Linked DNA regions of Notamacropus eugenii. The protein of the gene in region 1 binds, or shares a complex with, the protein of each later gene. Links are inferred from orthologs where the notes say so. Each region holds a gene or a part of one and is shown in the gene's direction. Other genes may lie near its edges.

Evidence for each region.
Region 2: the proteins of SIKE1 (region 1) and SLMAP are in contact, whole or in part, in a crystal structure (PDB 6AKM), measured with the Homo sapiens proteins. The link is inferred for Notamacropus eugenii from reciprocal best matches to the Homo sapiens genes SIKE1 and SLMAP. Residues at the interface, in NP_079349.2 of Homo sapiens: Ile5, Ile8, Leu9, Ala12, Lys13, Leu16, Leu19, Arg20, His22, Asp23, Ala26, Glu27, Leu29, Val30, Ser33, Ala34, Leu36, His37, Val40, Met43, Arg44; in NP_001291349.1 of Homo sapiens: Leu168, Tyr171, Leu172, Glu174, Ala175, Arg178, Glu179, Met181, Leu182, Lys185, Thr188, Leu189, Leu192, Leu193, Ile195, Thr196, Ala199, Ser200, Thr202, Ser203.

Annotation. Positions count from the first base shown.
Region 1 is NC_092873.1:294,104,839-294,115,249, reverse strand, and holds the start of SIKE1 (suppressor of IKBKE 1), read left to right. Parts: upstream 1-4,040; 5' UTR 4,041-4,226; coding exon 4,227-4,385; intron 4,386-4,500; coding exon 4,501-4,606; intron 4,607-5,272; coding exon 5,273-5,415; intron 5,416-6,232; coding exon 6,233-6,346; intron 6,347-10,411.
Region 2 is NC_092874.1:467,540,091-467,550,501, reverse strand, and holds the start of SLMAP (sarcolemmal membrane-associated protein), read left to right. Parts: upstream 1-5,092; 5' UTR 5,093-5,486; coding exon 5,487-5,684; intron 5,685-10,411. UniProt on the Homo sapiens protein: Associates with the striatin-interacting phosphatase and kinase (STRIPAK) core complex, forming the extended (SIKE1:SLMAP)STRIPAK complex.

The DNA of each region.
Region 1 (10,411 bases):
AATGTTTGTTGATTGATTGATGTGTGCAGACAGAGTTAACTTCTTCTCTTCTTGACTCTTCTAGAACCCCAAACTTTTCTAGGATGATGTCAAATAAGAGTAGGGATAGAAGATAAGTTCATTTGAGTTCTGTATTTATTAGGCCAGTTTCTAGTGCTTCCCCATGGCAAAAAAAGGCTGACTTTCAGATTAACATACATACTTTTTTTCATAATAAAAAGTGGCCCTTCTATACCAATACTTTAAATGTATTTTTTAAATTTAAATGAATGTTTTACTTTGTTAAAGGTTTTGTCCACACCTATTTCTATAATGATATAGCTTTTATGGGAACAGATTTTGGACCACACATGCAATTTCATTAGTATATGGAAGACCTCATGAGGAAAATCCCTCTCTGAATTCAGATCATCATCTGGTCTGCAACCTAGAGTATAAGAGAGCTAAAGGTTAAGTGTCTTGCCCAAGGTTGCATGTCCCATCACATGTCAGAGACAAGACTTCCACTCAGGTTTTCCCGATTTTGAAGGTCTTCTTGAGTCTGAATCATGCTGCCTTTCTTTGTTTTTCAATATAATTAATATTTTTTCTTTTTCTAATTTTGAACCATCTTAGCATCCCTGGCATAAAGTCAATTGTTTCATAGTAAATAGTTTTTTGTCTATGTTGCTATCGTCTTTTGGCTGGAATTTACTTTAGTTTTAATAAATATTCATTAGTCATATTAGTCTATAGCTCTCTTTCTTTGCTTTATCCTTTATGGTTTAGGATCAGAATTTGATAAGTTTGCTTAATTTTTGAGAATAATTTATGTATCATGGACATTCTTTCTTTTTTTGTTTGATGAAATTTACCTTGGCCAAAGTGTTTCTTTATAGAAAATAGATAGGTGGGGAAAGACAGACAGACAGACAGACAGACAGAGAAAGTTTGATAGTTCCTTTATGCCTTTTTCAATTTCATTTCCTACGATTGGGTTGTTTAAGATTTCTATTTGAAGTTCAGTTAATTCAAGTATTTTATGTTTTAATAGATAATCTATTTCATTTAAAGTCTCTTGTCTTTGATAGTATATAATTGTGTGAAGTGATTCTGATTATATTTTTTTTAAATTCTGCTCTGTTATAATTTCACTTTACTTGATTTTTTTATTCTGATCATTTTATTTCCCTCCCTCTTTTTTTTGATAACTAGGAAAATAACCTTAGCTAAAGGTTTGTTGATTGTATATTTTCAATGGTGCTATTTTTAGGTTTATCATCTTTGTTTTCCACTTTCTCTTTCAATATTTACTCTTTTTTTGCTTTTTTTGTGTTTATTGTTGATTTTCTAGTTTCTAAATGCACATTGTCTTTCTCTTTCTGTCTCTATTTATCTGTCTCTCTCTCCCTTCTTCCAGAATGATGGAGAGGCAGGAAGGGGGAGCTGTTGGGCTGCATGGACAGAGGAACACTCAAGAAATGACTCTCAAAGGTGACACTTGAACATTATTTTTTACCTTATCTACTTATTTTTTTTCTCCAATTCTTCTTTCCTTCTGTTCTCTATGATTCCTTTGGACTTTCTGTCCCTCTTTTCATCACAACTCATCACCAGCAAAACATGGTCTTTCAAGCAATCACCAAAGACTCTAGAGCATGAGTGGGATATCTCTGTTTTATGGACTAAATTTGACCTTCAGCTTAATTTTGTCCGGCCTCCTGGACACAAAGAGATCATTCCACCTATACCTGGTGACATAGTGGTTGCATTCATAGTTAGTAAAAGAAATAAAAGAAGTGTTCATTCTTTCTTCCTCCTTTAGGAGGTACAAAGAAATTCCTGATCAATGTTAGGGGTTATAGAGAGACTCAGACACACCCCTTCCATTGAATGAATAAATAATTGACTTGTCAGCATGTGTGTGGTGCCTTGTTTGTTGTTTTGCCCAAGAAGATTATATGTGCCTACATGGGTCCATAAAGATGTAGTTCATAGATAATCAAGAATAGGTATCTCTAATCTCCCCTGCCCCACTCCTTAAGCTCTTCTCTAAGGAAGACTTTGAATCTTCCTCAGGGAGAAGAAACAGGAGATTAGGGCCTGAGACCCGCCACTCTGGTCTCCTCAAAGAAAGAACACTGGGATAGAACCATATTTTTCTGTTCCTCTAAATATTGTTAGTCTAAAGGGGATATATTTTAGGTTCAAGCTCCTGATTGTTCTCTTAATAGACGAGTGTTCCAAAGCTCTGTATCCAAGATTTGACTCCCTTGCCAACAAATATCAGTTCCACAAGGAGCAAATAAACCCATTTACCTGAGTCTATAACAAAAGAGAAATCAGAAAAAAATATTCACAGGAGAAAACATACCAGACAATACAGAGTAAATGAACTCTCCCAATGGGAGCGAAAAATCTCAGCTCAACTTAAAGAGTCTCAGATCTCACCCTAAGGGAAATTCCCTGAAATCCCTAGTGTATTAAGTTGAGGATAGGAACATAATAGAGAGTGCCAGCTCTGCAATATGTTGGTTGCTTTCCAGAGTCTTTCACTCGCTTCAGGGATCTGAAGGGAGTTTAGAACAAATCTGGAAGCCAGAAGACCAGGATCTTTCCCTTCTCAGACTCCCACCAATCCCTCCCCTCAAGCAGGCATGAACCACTGTGTAATCAATTTTCACTAATGAGAGGACCCTTTGAGTCACAGGTTTTTAGAATGAATAAATGAAAAAGCATTTATGTAAAATGAAAAAGCACTTACTATGTTCAAAGTTCTTTCCTAAGCTTTGGGGATAAAAATAGAAAAGGAGCTCACATTCTAAAGGGGGAAAGGACAGTACATATGGGAAGTTTCAGCTACAAGTCAAATGGAAAAGCATGGTAGGTTCTTAGGGTACAGGAACATGGCAAATGATAAGGAATCTCCTTTAGTGTCCTTTTCATTGATAAAACCATATCTGTTCCTAATTTTTTAAAGACATTTATTCACCATCATGATCGGACTATTACATTTAGCAATCAATAATATGCAAACAAAAAAAGATCTACATTAAAACCCTTTGTGGGAATACTTTCCACAGAACAGAGACTAAAATAACCTGTTATGTAATTAAGTCACAAATGCAGTCCTGCAAATAGCAGAAACAGAACTAGGGATCCAAATTCGTAGAAATTCTCAAAATGTGTGTATACACACAGATATGCTGTATAGTATCATACATTTTTGGATAACAGGAATCTAAGATGCTTTGATTTGTAATGCATGGACCCATTGGCTAGCAGCGTTTCTAAAATTATAACAGCGGTCTCCAACCTACTTTGGGTCATGGACCCCTTTGTCAGTCTGATGAAACCTATGGAGCCTTTTCTCTGAATGTTTTCAAATGCAAAAAACAAAATACATATAATTACAAAGAAAACCATTTATATTGAAATAAAAAGGTAATTTTTTTCCCATCCAACTTCAAAATCTATTCACAGACAAGTTCCATGGATCTCAAATTATGAACTCATGCTCTACAATAATAACAGTAAGCAGTAAACCTCTATGGTTTGCAAAGGGCTTTACATATACTATCCCATTTGATTCCCATAATGACCCCGTGAGGTCAGTGTTGTAGCAAAATAAAAGTAATTTGGGCAAGAATGTATACATATATATGTATACACACACACACACATATACACACATATACACGTACACATATACACACACACACATATATACACATATGGATGTATATATATATATATATATATATATATATATAGAAAGAGAAATACACATCTGGCTAAAGTAGCAAAGGCTGAATAGGGACACTACTACTATGCTTTACACCCAGTAAGGCCTTTAACAATCACAAGAAAGAATGTGAAAGCATGATATCCTTTTCGCAATGAAGAAACTGAAGCTGAGAGGGTTAAGTGACTAGTCCCGGGCGCCGGACAGAAAGCCCGCCCCCCGCCCTACGTAGTTGGCCCCGCCCCCGCTCCTGACAGCGAGGGGCGGTTCTTAGGAGACGCAGGTCAGCGCCCGGGCAGGAGCGCCGTGCGCAAGCGCAAGGCCGAGGCCCTCGGTCTGCGGAGCCAAGGGAAGACTCTCCCGAGGCTGTCGGAAGCGGCGCGGGTGTTTTTCGCTTACGGAAGTGAAGTCAGCGGCAGTGGGCGGAAGACCCGGAACCGGCGGCGGCGTAGGCATCGGTGAGTGGCGTGGCTGCGGGGCCGCCTTGGCCCGGTTCTCCGCTATGAGCTGCACGATCGAGAAGATCCTGACGGACGCCAAGACGCTTCTGGAGCGGCTGCGGGAGCACGACGCGGCCGCCGAGTCCCTGGTGGATCAGTCGGCCGCCCTGCACCGGCGGGTGGCTGCGATGAGGGAGGCGGGCGCCGCGCTGCCGGACCAGGTCAGCCCTAGGCCCGGGGGCCGGGCGGGAGGTGGGGGGTCCTCCCTGCCCGGATGGGCCGGACTCCTTCCGCTCTAGCCTGACTTGGGCGGGGGTTGGTCTGTCTGTTTACCAGTACCAGGAGGATGCCGCGGACCTGAAGGACGCGTCCAGATACAAGCCTCACATCCTGCTGTCCCAGGAGAACACGCAGATCCGAGACCTGCAGCAGGAGAACCGAGGTGAGCGCAGCAGCCTTTCTCCCCCAAATGCCACGCTTTCGAACCCACAGTTTAGGCCAGCTTATTCCCCACGCAGGCCACGAACGGGAGTACAGTGCAGCACCTCCCAACTGGTGAGTTTAATAAGCAAGTCTGTTGCTAAATAACAGTCTTCGTAGAAAATAGGAACAGTCAATAGATGATCCTTTTCAGTATTGTAGGTAATGGAGAAGTCTTAATTTAGTAAGTACTGTTCAAGGGTGTTTTTTAACCCGTTATTACGAATGTGAATATGATCTTATTGAACAAATATGAGTTGTTTCTGCGAAGGACAGTACTTTCAGATGAATTCAGTTCACTATTCTAAAGCAGTGACTTCCTACTTCTTGGTGAAATCCTTAAAATGTTATTCAACTTTACTTAAATTTAAATGTGTGTATGTGTATCTATAGGTGTATATACATACATACATGTGTATATAAACATAGATATACCATAGAGTATCATAAATTTTTGTTGAAGAGGAATCTAAAGTGCTTTGATTAGTAATGTATGGAACATTAGCTAAAATTATAGGCACCATTAGTCGGGGTAAATATGCTGTTAAGTTTTTCAGTCTCCGATGGGGTGGAGATTCTTCACTGTCTCAGATATCACTGCCAATTTATTTTACTTATTCTTTGATAGAGTTGTGGATTTCCTTGGAGGAACACCAGGATGCTTTGGAACTCATCATGAGCAAGTACAGAAAACAGATGCTACAATTAATGATTGCTAAAAAAGCAGTGGATGCTGAACCTGTCTTGAAAGCCCACCAGTCTCATTCTTTAGTAAGAAGTTTCACAATAAATATCTGTTAAATTGAATTGAATCTAGAAATTGTTTTTATAAATTTCTTGCCCTATAGAGAGCTTTCTTAAGGAGTTTAACTCAGAAAGAGAAATATAAAGGATAAGAACTGGCAGGGATAGTAGGATTTTTTTTTCCTCAAGAAAAGTTATCTTTCTTTTTATGTTTATCACTTTATTGTTAATGTTTTAATAATATCCTTGCTCTGAGGCCTGTGTTTGCTATGATTTTATACCATAAAAGAGTGGTAAATATGAAAGAGAAGAATCAATAGCGGAAATAATTGCATTCTTATGGACTGTTTATGGAGGTCAGAGCTGTGTATTTACTTTACCCTGAATGATATCAAGTGTTTGTAAGACCTTTCACTGTAGTCATTCAAAAAGCTTTTTTTTTTTTTTTTTTAAGCTCTTACAGAGTATACAGTATTTGACCAGGTGGGAAGTACTCAGTGAATCCTTAATGACTCAGGGAGGAGAGAGTGGAAGAAATACAGCTTCTATTCAAGTACTTGAGGAATTTGTCATTTAGCTGGAGAAAGCCAATACATAGGAACTTGAAGAGCATTTGCTATAGATTACAGTATAGTGTGAGACAGAGACAGACCCCTTCAAGACAAGAAGGGTTAGAAAGATATGGGCATGTAGATATGGAAAGGTCCAGCCATTGATTAGATAGGTGAGATATTGATTAACTGGGATGATGTTACTCAGTCTTCTCATAAGCATTTTACTTTTTGTTTTGTTTGTTATTCTTCCTACAGGCAGTGCAGAATTAATATACTTAATATCTTAACAGGAAATTGAAAGTCAGATTGATAGAATCTGTGAAATGGGAGAAGTGATGAGGAAAGCTGTTCAGGTGGATGACGACCAGTTTTGCAAGATTCAGGAAAAACTAGCCCAACTGGAGGTAAGAATATTGTTTTTGCTATCAGAAAAGTATATCTTTCAGTCATAGCACCTTAATGATGATGTCTCAGCAGATGACTCTCAAATCTGTGTATGCAACCCTAATCTCTCTCTTGAACTCTGGTCCTATACTGCTAACTGCCTGGTGTCCCGTAGGCATTTTAAACTCAACATGTCCAACTATCTTTCCCCAAAAATCTATTCCTCCTTCATACTACTTTGGTTTCTTTTGAGGGCACTACCATCCTTATGGGCTGTAGTCTCAGTTTTGGAGAAAATGACTTGACTTCCACGAACAAATCCAGTGACTTGTCAAGTCTTGCTGTTTCCCCCTCCTCTTCACTGTCTCCTCCCTGTCAGTTAACAAGGATTCACTGAGTGCTTCCTAAGGCCAAACACTGTAGTAACATCTCTTTCATCTGTTCTCTTTTTTTCTCCTTCCTGTTCTACCCTCGTTCAGGATTTTATATGCTCTGATAGACTATTACAGTTGCCCTCTAACTGATACCCCTACCTGCAGATACATCCTCTAATCCGTTTTCCACATACCCCTTACTCAAAACTCTCTGATGGCCCCCTGTTTCCTCTATAAAACACATTTAAAGAATGCTACAACTAGCACCCACCTACCATTCCAGTTTTATTTCATAGGATTTCTCTTACCATACTTTCTTTAGTTGTTCACTGTATTGATATTCCAACTCTTGCAAGTGCAAGTGATCCCCTCCTATCTGGAATACCTTCCTTCCTCATCTTCATCTTATTCCCTAGCTTCTATCAGAGCTCACACTGCTACCTTCACGAGGCTTTTTCTAATCACATTAGTTATTGGCATTCTCTCTTGAAACTGCTTTGTATTTTCTTGTACTAATTTTGGATCTCTAGTGGAATGTCCCTCAACAGCAAGAATTGTTTCCTTTTATCTTTGTGTCATGTGTATCTTCTGTATATTAGGCATCTTAATAAATGTTTTGTTGAAATGACTTAAATTGAATGATTTTAAGATTAAAACATTCCCCTTCCTCCCTGCAGGTCGGAGCTGTACAGTTACTTTACTTTTTGTTTCCCTGAGACCTTTTGTTATATTCATTCAATAAGCATTTTCTTTTTCTATATCCTACAGAATGTTCAGTGTTGGACACATGGAAGGTTTTCAGTAAATCCTGATTACAAGGATAGAGGAGTGTAGAAGAAATAAAATGTACTGTTTTTAATTTTGAGGAATTGATAATTTTAGCTAGTGAAAGCTAATAACACTGGTACTTCAGGATAAACACTATTTTTATGGAGCAAAATATAGTAATATAGTATAAAATAGTTCCTTTCAAGGGAATTATTTTTTGCAGGTAAAAAATAAGTTTCAAATATGTCATCTTAACTAAACATGAAAATAACTTACCCTAGAAATAGGAAAATTAAAAATAATTTAATAGTGCCTTTTTATTTTTCTTTTAAAAATACATTTTATTGATGTCCTTATTTCTCAACATATTCCTTTTCCTCCCTCACTCAAGCAATCTTCATGACAATTTTTTTAAGGAGAAAAAATGTTTAGCAAAACTAACCAACTTATTAAAAACTGTTTGACATTTTATATATAGTGTTCTACATCCACTGTCTCCCAACTTGGCAAAGAACTTATGCTTTGGGGCTAGGATAAATTGTAATTTGGCAACATTCAAAATTTTGTTTTTGTTCTTTAAATTTTTTTTAAAATTCTGAACTTAAACTCACCCCATTTGAAAAAATTTATTATATGTGGCAGAACAGAAAAAAAGGATGACCCAATTTCATACCATTTGCTTTTTCAAATAGCATGTAACAAATTCCATACCATACTTTCAATTGGGTCCTGTTTATCTGTCCTTTCTTTGGAATTTCCATTTTCAACCACTTGGTAAATCTGTTCAACTCTACATTCAAATCCTTGCCACACCTTTCTTCTCCCTCCCCAATTCCCATCACTGACCATACCCTGCTAAACTACAACTTTGTGTATTGCTTCCACCACCTTCTTCACTTTTGTTCATGTGCTGCTGAATGGAGCTAGAAAAGAATCACAAAATTATGCTTAGTCCACTACAAACATATGTTATAGATTCTCAACTGTCTCCTCTGCAGCAGGACCATCCTTTTGCACCTCCCTAATTGATTCATTCTGTCACTCACCACCATGGCTTTTCCAAATGTTTTCATCCTTCCTGAGACGTCCCATAGTACCCATTTCCCCTTTTCTATGCTGAGAACATTGTCTTATATTTCTCCAAAAAAACTAAAGCCACCCACTCAGAGCTACTTCTTGCCTCCTCACATCACTCAATTGTCTTCTTCCTTTTTCATATTTCTTGAATGAAGAGGTGGTCCTTCTTGCCAGGACAAATCCCTTTATATATACCCTTGATGCCATCTTATCTTCCTCAGTAGACTGCTTCCCTTGATAGCTCCACTTTCTAATCTTTAACCTTTCCCTATTTACTGGCCCTGCTGCCTACAAACATGTCCACATCTTTTGTATTCTTAAAAAAAAAACTTCACTCAGTTCTACCATCCCTGCGCTAGCTGTCATCTTACATATTTTTCTCTTTCTGGACTAAACTTGAGAAAGCTATTTACAGAAGCACAGCCAAGATGGTGGAATAGAGAGAGCATTCCAGCAGAACTCTCCCAACAACTTGAAAATAATGCATAAAATCAAATTCTGGAGAGGTGTAACCAACAAAAGGTCAGAGTGAGGCATTTTTCCGCCCCAAACTACTTAGTAGTCAGACAGAGATCTGTGACACTGCGGTGAGGATGGACCATGATAGCACAGCACACAGTAGCAGCAGCAGCAGTTCTAGGAGCTTTTCCCACCCACAGACAGGAAGAGGAGTGGATAATCAGATTACAGGGAACCCTTGTGTGGGCACTGTGCAGAATTAGAGGCTGTTTGGCAATTCCATTGGCCATTACCTATTTCTGGGCCAAGTTTTAAGGGTGCAGAGGCCCTTGTTGTAGTTCCAGGACAGAGAGGAGTGCTGAGGGCTTGCTGCTGTAAGGAAATGAGTCCTTGCTGGGTAAGGACCCAAGTGCAGTCCAGGACAGCAGCGCAGCAGCAATCATACATCTCTCTTGATCACTTCACCTTGGAAGCACTGAAAACTTACAGATGCTTTCTTCCACCCAACTAATTGTGAAAACAACTGACAAGCTTAGGACAGTATTCCCCCATAGGCCCCTTACCACGAGCAACTCTAACATGAAATCCAAAGTTAAAAAATAGATTGGAAAAATGAGCAAATAACAAAAAAAGAACCTAACTATGGAAAGCTGTTATGGTGACAGGGAAGTTCAAGACACAAACTCAGAAGAAAACAATATGAAAACAGCTACTAGCAAAGCCTCAAGATGAAGGGCATAGGGGAGGGTAGGAATGCAGTCTGGAAACAATTCCAACAAGAATTCCTATAAGAGCTAAAGAATGATTTTTTAAAAGCAAAAAAAGAAAACTTTTTAAAAATGAAAGCAATAGAGGAAAAATTGGGAAAAGAAATGAGAGCAAGAAAATTATGAAAAAAAGAGAATTAACCACTTGGTGAAAGAGGCACAAAAAATACTAAAGAAAATAACACTTTATTTTTAAGTTAATTTATTTAGTTTTCAACATTGACAAGTTTTAAATTTTCTCCCTTCCACGTCCCCAAGACAACTTGCAGTCTGATACAGGCTCTCCATATACATTCCTATTAAACATTTTCATATTAGTCACGTATAAAAGAATTCGAACGAATGGGAGGGGCCATGAGAAAGGAAAAAACAAAACAAAAAAAGAAAATAGTCTGCTTTGCTCTGCATTCAGACTCCATAGTTCTTTCTCTGAATATGGATGGCATTTTCCACCATGAGTCCTTTGGAATTGTTTTAGTTCCTTGCATTGCTGAAAGGGCTAAGTCTATCAAAGTCAGTCTTCACACACTGTAGCTTTTACCGTATACAGTGTTCTCCTGGTTCTGCTCATTTCACTCAGCATCAGTTCATATAAGTCTTTCCAGATTTTTGTGAAGTCTGCTTGTTCATCATTTCTTAC
Region 2 (10,411 bases), on another chromosome or scaffold:
ACACATCACTTTTCTGATGCAGGAAAACAACACAACTCAGCTTTCAGATTTCTAAAGAACAAAATGGCATCTTCAAAAAGATTTTCAGTTTTAGGAGCCTGTATTAGAATAAAAAATTGGGGGCAAATCACAAAAATTTGTGGGATTATAGATATAGATATAGCTTCTCCGTCTGGGCTTCTGAAAGCATCGTGCCATGCTGCAGTGGAAAACTCAGGCTGAGAACCAGAGTTCTGCATTCACCTCGGCCCCAGGAGTTGTTTTTTCTGTCATGTGGAATAGGTCCACTCCTAGCCTTCCTCTTTGGCAATTGGAGGCTGTTGAGTCTGGGGCTTTCTAAGCTCTTTCCTAGTTTTCATAATCAACGATTCTCCGAAAAGGTGCTTTGTGAGTTCTCCTTGTCAGTGTTTCTTCCTGGGGCACTTTTTATTACCTGAAAAACCAGAGGGCCAAAAATAGGTGAGTATAGGCTATGGAATGTCTTGCTACTCCACCCAGGACACCTGGTCAATGACAGGGTATTTCCACATACTGCAAACCACCCTGGACTGAAACAAGCTCTTAATGAGGAAAGAAGGCTTACGATCGCTTGGGTCTTAATAAAGACAATAGAGGTATTCTTTTTAAAAGTAGCAAATGCTTTCAATTGGGATTTCTACCTGATCCTGAGCTAATCCTCCATTTTTGGCTTAATGATATTTTGTACCAGCTAGATTGCCCTCAAATGGTAATTACACAATTTGTTATATCCTATGCATACGTGGAGGGAGAGAAAGTTCAGCGTTTGATCATTAATCAGATTTAGAGAACTATTCTTTGTTGTGCCTTGGAATTCCTTAGAATTATTTGCTGGTCTTTCACACTGGTGGTTTTTTTTTTTTTTAATAAGAATGTTGCAAATGCCTGTTCTTCCAAGACTGAAAGTGCCGTGATTTGGGTTCAAGAAGTGGTAAAACTGACATCCTGCCACGGAAAAGAAAGCTACTTTATAACTCTCACTGTTTCTCAAATTGTGTGGAGTTGTTTTTGGACAATTACAATTGTGCATTTATCTACAGTTAGGCAAAGGAATGTCCAGAGACCTTGATGTAATGTATGTAGTGCCTTACAATGTACACGGTGTTCTACCCAGAACCCTTGTGAGATATACATTGTCTCATCTCCATTTTACAGAGAAGGAAACTGATTCTCAGAGATGTGGATTTACTTGGGCAGGATTGCAGACACTGCTAAGTGCCAAGTCAACAAGCATTCATTAAGCACCTACTATGTGCTAGGCACTGTGCTAGGTACTTTGGATACAGAGAAAGGCAAAAAGAGTCCTTGTTTTCCAGGAGCTCTTAGTGTAATGAGGAACTCACAATGGCAGCCAGGCCTTCTGAATCCTAGGCCAAAACTCCTTCTACTTCATCACTTTGCCTAAAACAGTAGGTCTGAGATTCTCTGCCTGTCATGCTTATTGAGGTTTGTTTGATTAAGGTGTGGTGAAAGACCTTCAAAAGATTATGGACTTTTCTAAGTCATTTTTTTGGTGCATACATATAAATGTGGAATCCCTTAAATGGCCTCCTTGGATTGTGTCAGCAGGTCCAGCCTTTTGGGGAGTCAGGATTGAAGTGAGGCTTTAAGGGATTTGTTGAATAGAAAGCAACTTCCAAACAATTTTGCAATTATTCTCTTTATTAAAAAAAACAAACAAAAAAAGCCCCCAAAAACAAAAAACCTCAAACCAAACAAAGTTGTTTCAGTCAGGTCTGATTCTTTGTGATACCATTTGGGTTTTCTTGGTCAAAGATTTTGGAATGATGTTAGCCATTTCCTTCTTCAGCTCACTTTACAGATGAGGAAACTGAGACCCACAGAGTTGTGACTTGCCCAAGGTCACACAGTAAGTATCTGAGGCCATATTTGAACTCAGGTCTTCCTGACTCTGGTGTTGTATCCACTGTACCACCCAGCTGCCCCTTAGTATAAGGTATTTAAATGTATAATTATGTGGTGTTGGCAATGCAACTGTGGTTGTAACTAGTAGCTCTGGTTTCCTTCTCCTGTTGAGAACTACATCTTCCAGCAGTTTCTGGGCATTTGAAGACCCAACCATATGAGAAGATGTGTCTTACTAGAAGGGAAAGTCCTTTCTAGCCAGAAGGAAGATAATAGAGTGTTAACAAGTACAAAAAAGAAGGTTGTGGGGGCCTACATTGGAAATACCCCAGAGGGCCTGGATTCAAATCCATCTTTTTTTTTTTTAATTAAATTATTTTATTTATTTTCAGTGTCCTAGATTTTTTTCTCCTCCCTTCTCACTCCCTCCCTGACACTGCCTTTAATCTTATATAGGTTCTACACATACATTCCTATTAAATACATTTTCACCTTAATCATGTTAAATAGAAGAATTCAAATGAATGGGAGAAACCATAAAACAAAACAAAACATAATACTAAAGAAAATGATCTGCTTCTTTCTGCGATCCAATTCTACAGTTCTTTCTCTGGATGTGGAAGGCATTTTGCTTCAAGAGTTCATTGGGAATTTTTTAAGTCCTTGCACTGCAATGAAGTACTAAGTCTACCTGAAAAATTTCCCGTACACACTGCGGTTGTTGCTGTGTACAAAGTTCTCCTGGTTCTGCTCCTTTCACTCAGCATCAGATCATATAAGTCTTTCCAGACCTCTCTGAAGTCTTCCTGTTCATCATTTCTTATAGCACAATAGTATTCCATTACATCAAATCCCTCTTTGAACTCTTACCATCTGCATGACCTTGGGTAAGTCCTTTCATCTTTGGGGCCTCAGTTTCCTCATCAGGAAAATGAGGTCAGCTAAGTGGTAGTGGCCAATAGATTACCTGGCCTGGAGTCAGAAAGACTCATCTTCCTGGGTCCAGCCTCAGACACTTCCTAGCTGTGTGACCCTGGGCAACCGACATAACCCTGTTTGCCTCAGCTTTCTCATCTGTAAAATGAGCTGGAGAAGGAAATGGTGAAGTACTCCAGGATCTTTGCCAAGAAAATCCCACAGGGGATTTACAGAGTTGGACACCACTGAACAACAACTTCTGCTTCCAGATCCAAAGCTTGTATCCTGAGATCACAGAAACAAAAATAGTAGGGAAGGAGAAAACTCACCTTTTCCAGCCCCTGCCTCTCTCCCAAACCTTTTTCCTTCTCACTTAGAGGTGATTTTCTTTATGATTTTTTAGACTTCTTATGGAGTTCACCTGGGAGTCCACCTGTTGGGACTTCAATGATAATAAACTTTTATAGTTTTTATTACAGTGTATTTTATAAAATCTATAGTCTCTGGACCTTCTTTTCCTGTTTGTAAAATGGGAATGGGGACAAGGGTAAGGAAGAGCAGACAGGAGGTTGGCTTTCTTAATCTCTAAGTCTCTCTCTACTAATAGCCATTGGTTTACAGTTGGAAGGGACCTTGGAACTCATCCAGTCCACTTAACTCCTTTCAGAGGAGGTAGCTGAGGCCCAGAGAGGGAAAATGACCTGCCCGAGCAATAGTAATAACATGTATGGAGTACTTACTGTGTTCTAGGCCAGGTGCTAGGTCCGGGAGACTCAGAGAGGCAAATGTAAGTGTTGCCCTAAGGGAGCTTACCGATCTACACATATGTAGGAGGGCACATACTCCATACTCCTACATATGTGTATTCCTACATGTGTACTCCTACATATGTGTAGATGGATAGAATTTGTATATATGTGTGCAGATAGATATATATCATATTATATATCTATTGTGACATATAAATAGTATATTTCTATTATATCTTATATCTAATGTATAGATCTAATATATATACACGTATACATTTTATGACCTCGTTCCATTTTACCATATATTTATCCATATATATTTATATTCGTTATACATAAATGTATATGATAAATTGGAGGAAGGGCATAAAATTACTAAAGGGCAGCAGCTGGATTTGAACTCACGGTCTTAGGTGGTATGGAGGCGAGGGACGGCAGGAGGAGGAGGGGAAGGTGTTAAGCCACAGCGCGCCCAGTCACAGGGGCTTACGTCAGAGCTGGGAAGGAGGGAGGGGGAGGGGTCAAGGGCAGGGGAGTAACGAGACGATAAGGCCGAAATGCGCATGCTCAGTCACTAGGGCCGAGCTTCGGGGCTAGTAAGCATCTGTCCTTTGGGACTGGTATTGGCGCCTCCCCCGCCTCGGATTTCGACTTCGCTTTGCACGACTTCCTCAAGCATCGCGAGAGGTGCTTGCCCACAGCTAAGATGTCTGCCAATGCGCTTTGCCCCTGGGGGGGAGGCTTCTCGTCCCAGAGAAGCATCGCGGCGAGTCCCCCGAGCGCAGGTTCACCTCCCCACTGTCAGACAACGTCTCTTCATGAGGACGAGGCCCGAGGCGCCCGCCGCCACGCTAGGCCCCGGCCCGTAGGCCACTCCCCACTCCCCAGCCTTCGCTGCCCTTAAGCAACATGGCGGCCCGCGCCTCTCGGAGAGCCCCACCCCCGCCAGGACGGCTCCCGGAGCAGCCCGCCCCGCGCCCCGCCCCGGCCTCTTTTTGCCCACACCCAATAGGGCCCCCGCGGCGTCGGTCACGTGGGCCTGGGAGTACGGCGCGGGAGAGGGGCCGGGCGGGCGGGCTAGTGCAGGGTGCGCGCTCCCGCGGCCGGCCGTCCGTCCGTCCCGCTGGTAGGTCTCCGTCAGAGTCACTATGGCGGCCGGGGCCGGGGCCGGGGCCGGGGTCGGGGCCGCGGGTGGGGCGGGGAGGGCCGGCGGGGCGGCGGGGGGCGCCTGACGGGCCGGGAGGGCGGGCGGCGCCTGACGGCGGCCGGTCACGGTTCTTGTCGCCCGCAGGTCGGAAAGTTTGGCGGCGGCGCCGCGTGAGCCGGGGCGGGCGGCCGGAGAGGGCCCCGCAGGCCAGCGCTCGAGGCGGCGAGAGAGCCCAGAGGAGCGGCGACCGACCCCCCACGCGCCGCCGCGGACACGCGGGAGCCCAGCCCGGGGCCGCCCCCGGCGCGCGATGCGCGGCCCCCGCTAGCGCGATCCCTGCTGGGGCGAGGAACCGAGGCGGCCCACGGACGATTCGGCCGGCCCACGGGAAGGGGGGACCCCGCTCCGCGCGGCAGGGCCGTCAGTGCCCACGCGAGACCGGGTCCCCGCTCGCGTGCCCTCGGGCGCCCCCCGAGTGACTCCCGGAGCGGCCGCGGGTGGATGCAGGAAGCCCCCTCCAATGTGGTTGGAGCCCCTGGGTGCTGAGCCCCAGGGGGATGGAGTGAGGGGCGCCCCCCACGCGCCCCCCGGCCATGCCCGGACCGCTCCCACGGTGGTGACCCGCGGCGACCCCCACGCGCGTGCGGGGCCGATGCTGTCTGCGCTCTGATCCGCCTGCTGGGGTGGGAGGACACACGTGGCGCGGCCTGCTCGGCAGCGTGGCTCAGGACGAGCTCCTCTTCGGACCCGGGCCTGGCTGGAGCGGGCTCCCCGAGCTGTCCTCAATGCCTTCGGCCCTGGCCATCTTCACTTGCCGCCCCAACTCGCACCCGTTCCAGGAGCGCCATGTCTACCTGGACGAGCCCATCAAGATCGGGCGCTCGGTGGCCCGGTGCCGGCCGGCCCAGAACAACGCCACCTTCGACTGCAAGGTGCTGTCCCGGAACCACGCACTGGTCTGGTTCGACCACAAGACGGGCAAGGTGAGGGGCCGCGCCGTGCCGCGGGGTGCTGGCGGCCGTGGGCGTGGGCAGCGGGAAGTGGTCAGCGGGCAGGGGGCAGCGGGGCTGGACAGCCCTTGGGCAGGGGCAGCCTTGGGCAGCGGGGCTGGACAGCCCTTGGGCAGGGGCACGGGCAGGGGCAGCGGGGCTGGAGAGCCTTTGGGCAGGGGCACGGGCAGGGGCAGCGGGGCTGGAGAGCCTTTGGGCAGGGGCACGGGCAGGGGCAGCCGGGCTGGAGAGCCTTTGGGCAGGGGCACGGGCAGGGGCAGCGGGGCTGGAGAGCCTTTGGGCAGGGGCACGGGCAGGGGCAGCCGGGCTGGAGAGCCTTTGGGCAGGGGCAGAGTGGCTGGACAGCCCTCGGGCAGGGCCCCACCTTCTCCTGACCCAGGCTGGCCCCCTGGCCCGGGCACAGCCTGCCCAGGAATGACAGGTCACCCGAGGCCGAGATTGCCTCCTGGCTGCGTCCCGCCTGGTTCTTAAAGTTGACCCCGAGTCTCCCCGACTTGACTGTAGAGGGTTCAAGCTTTCCAAAGAGGATGTAAGAATCTAGGACCAGCCATTAGGACGCTTTGCAGTCACTTGGAAGAAAGTTCTTTGGAATTCTCTGGAATTCCTTGATTCTGAAATTATGGTGATGCAGAGGCAGTGGGCTTTTCAAAGCAAATGACATCTGTGCCCGGGACTTGGGTGAGAGCAGAGAAAGACGTTTTAATGTTCTTGTCCGGTGCCAGTACACTGCCTTCCTTACCTGTGGAAGATACTTCTCTTATGTCCTCTCTGCAAGTGTTCAGCTTGTGTGCCAACCAGGCTTCCCGGAACCCAGTGGTAGGACAGGTAGAGAACCTCCCATCGCCAGTCAGCTCTTTCCCCTTCACTTCTCATTAGGTGTTTGATTTGCCCTCGTACAGATGAGTGGATGGACTTCCTACACTCTGAGACACCTCGGGTAGACATTTTAAACACCACTTTAAATTTTGGGGGAAAAATAGTGATTGGTAACATGAAGGAATCCTTTCTAGGACTGTGCAGAGATAATATCCCAGTGGCTTAGTTGGATATGACTAAGAGTCTTAACAGAAGTGGGCGGTTTTTGGCAGGGGAATTGAGATGACATGTTAAAAATTTGTACAAAGCGTGTTCTTGAAAGCTCTGCAACCACAGTTACCTTTTTAAATGAAACGACTGGATCATTCCTAACATCTTCTCTTTCCTCACTACCTAAAAGAAGATGGTTTGTTAATAGCGTAGTCACTGACTGAATTAATCAATCCATGACCAATCAGATTGAACCACATTGCAGTACAGGCTATTTTAGCTAGTAGTCCTTTGGAATTGTGAGTTACCTCGGATAGAGAGACCAGCTAAATGACCATGTTAGTTAGTGCTGATGTTCTTGGGAGAAATGTCCATTGTGAGAAATCTTATGTTACTCTATTTCTCCCTTTTCCCTGACTCCTTACCCCCCTCCCTCCAGCAGCCACCAGTTTAGGACAGGTTCTAAATTTCATTTACTTTACACTGAACCCCTTAAAGGGGAAATAGCAAATTTAATTAGGTACTTGTTCCTAAAGTTCAGAGGACTTTGCGTCATCTCATTGAAACAAACTCTAAGGAACTGTCCAGCTTCTTTGGTTAATACTGGACTTTGCAGAGAGAAAGAGTTGGAAGGAAATCTCTGGGACCTAGAACATCTTCTGTTAGAGGAGATTTTTGTTCCAAATGAAATAGAACAGAGGGACCTGACTTGATAGTCTGCCTCCTGACACACTGGGCCCATCTTTCCTGCTCTGTAAATTAAGACATTGGACTAGCTGGCCTCCAAGGTCCCTTCCAGCTCCATAAACTTTTAAATAATAAATACATAGTTCTGTCATGTTATTTTCACAACCATGGAGGTAGGCCCTATTGTTACCTCCATTTTACAGGTGAGGAAACTGAGGCAATTTCTTACCCAGGTTGACACGGCTAGAAGGTGTGAGACTGTATTTGAACTCAGGGCTTTCTGACTCTGGATCTAGTTCTCTATGCACTGTACCATTCAACTTCTACTTTTACTTTACCTGTGTGATCTTGTGACAGGCCCTCAACTTACCTAACCTGGACCTCAGTTTGGTCATTTATGAAATGAGACAGTTGTACTTCATAGTTTCCATGGTCTCTAGTTCACGTTTATTAGGCTTTTAAGCTTTGCAGAGTTTTGTTTTAGCAGTCGGGCAGTCAGAAAGAATTTGCTATGCACCTGTGATTTGCTGAGCATTGATGACTCAGAGAGAGGCCAAAGACAGTGTCTGCTCTCAGGGAGCTCCCAGTCTAATGGCAAAAACAAGCTGGAGACAACTTGGTATGGATAAGATCTAGACAGGATAAATTGGAGATAATTAGCAGTGACTGGTGGGAAATCCCTAGCATTAACGGAGACCCGCAGAGGCTTCTTGGAGAAGGTGGATTTAGCAGGGACTTGAAGGGATGAAGGAGGCGGTGATGAGGAGGGAGAGCCTTCCAGGCCTGGGGAGCAGCTGGAGAGAATGCCTGGAGCCAAGGGAAGGAGGGTCTTGTTTGAGGAGCAGCCAGGAGGCTTTTATGGTTACTGGATCCCAGACTACCTGTTGGGGAGTGAGGTGTAGGAAAGCTGGCAAGGGAGGAGGGGGCTCTAAATGCCAAACAAATGGAGCATTTTGTATTTGATCCTTCAGCTGAGAAGAGCCCCTGGAATTGACTGGATAGAGAGGGGTGGCATGGTCAGGCCTGTACTTCAAGAAGGCTACTTTAACAGCCTGAGTGAAGGATGAACTAGAGTGGGGACAGATGAGTGTGGGAGGCCAGTTGTCCAAGAGTGAGACAGTGAGGGCCTGAGCCAGGATGGAGCAGTGTCAGAGGAGAGAAGCGGGCATGTTCAAGGGATGTTAGGAAGGTAAAGGCAATAGGACTTGACCCCTGGATATGGGGGGCCAGAGAGTGAGAGCTTGTGGAGCCTATGCCATGGGAGCCTCAGCAGTGACAGGGAAGTGAGGAAGAGAGGAGAGCTTTGGTGGAAAGGTCACCAGGTCAGTCTGGGGCCTGTTGGCTTAAGCTGTCTGTGAATCATACTTTTGGAGACAGCCAGTTGGTAAGATTTGAGTTTGGAGGTGAGGAGAGAGGCCAGGGCTGGAAATCTGAGGACTTTCCGTGTAGTTCCTTTATCAGATGAGGGAACAGAAGCCTAGAGCGTTAAGTGTTTTGCCGGTAGTCCCCCAGTAGGTTACTGTTTAAGGTGGAATTTGAATTCAGGTCTTGACTCCACATCCAACTGTCTGTTATTTCCTGCTTTACTATTAATGTGTTAACTGATTTGTCAACTGGTAGAGACTCACTTTTAAATTCCAAGCTTCTGGTGGACTCCAAGTGATCCCTTTAAGGTCAGATTTACACACAATGTGCTGTGATTCTTTGTGCCCTGATAGAACAGAAAGTAAAGATGAGATGAAGGATATGCTAAGAGAACTGATAACCCTGGCACTTTCTAAGCTTGTCTCTCCAGGCCCAGTGTTCTCTGTCTACTCGATGTGTCAGACTGAGGCCAAGGGGCTATGGAAAGCTGGCCCTGGGGTCCAGTCATTAGGATCAGCCTGCCTCTGATGACTTGGGTGATGTGGGGACCCTCTGTGGGGAGGAGCCAGCAGACAGGGAGGATCCAGGCCCTCTCTTCTATCACTTTAGTGCCCACTAGTGACAAGGTCTCCAGAAGTGTATAAAAGTCCTTGGGAGTCAACGCATTTATTACAAACCAGCTCCTGTGCTGAAGGTGCTTGCCACAATTCCCTTGTTCTGTTACATGTATACACAGTGATTGGAGAAAGAAGAGAGAAGGAATCAGGAGAGGCTTCCTGGAGAAAGAGGTCCCTGAACCGAGCTGGGAAGGAAGCAAGGGGATAAAGTGATGGGAGCTTTGGGGCATCCCCTGGAGGAGTGGTGATGGAGCTGTTTGTCCTGCAGTACGCTCTGAAGAGCGTTGGTGGCAAAGCATTTGGAAAGATTTGGCAGGAGCCAGCCCGGAATGGGCAGCAGGAAACCATGGAAGCTTGTGGACCAAGGCAGTGAAAGTGTCCAGACTTCTCCTCCTGGGAGAAGCCACCCTTCCTTTAAGACATAGCCCAGGTTCTGCCCTTGTCCTTCCTCCCAAACCTAGCCTCTGCTCATTTTGTAGTATTCTATACTTAGATATGACTGCCTGTGATATCCCATGTAAGCTCCTTGAGGACAGGAACTGTTTGCTGCTAGAATGTCCTTAGTGAGTGCTTAATATGTGCTTGTTGATTGACTGACTGACTGCTTTAGGAAGATTATTTTGGTTATTTTTGGAGTATGGATGAGACCAAGGAGATACTGAAAACAGACCAAGGAAGGGTCCAGTAGAGAGATGAGCTAAGGGAGTGAGCCTGTGAATGGAGAGAAGGGGCCAGCGCTCAGAGACACTATAGTGATAACTATACATAGACATGAAGACTGAATGGCAGAGAGGGTGAGGAAGAGTCAGGAGTTGTGAATGACTCCAGGCTTGTGAACCTGGGTGATGAAAAGGAAGGGAAGCCATTGTGGACAGTGGGAGGTGGACAGATTTATTTAGTAGGTGTTTGGTGAAATGGAGCTTGGGAGCAAGACGGTAGCCCGATGCATAAAGTTGAGAGTCATCCACAGAGACACGGTTGACTCAGTGAGGGGTGATGTAGAGA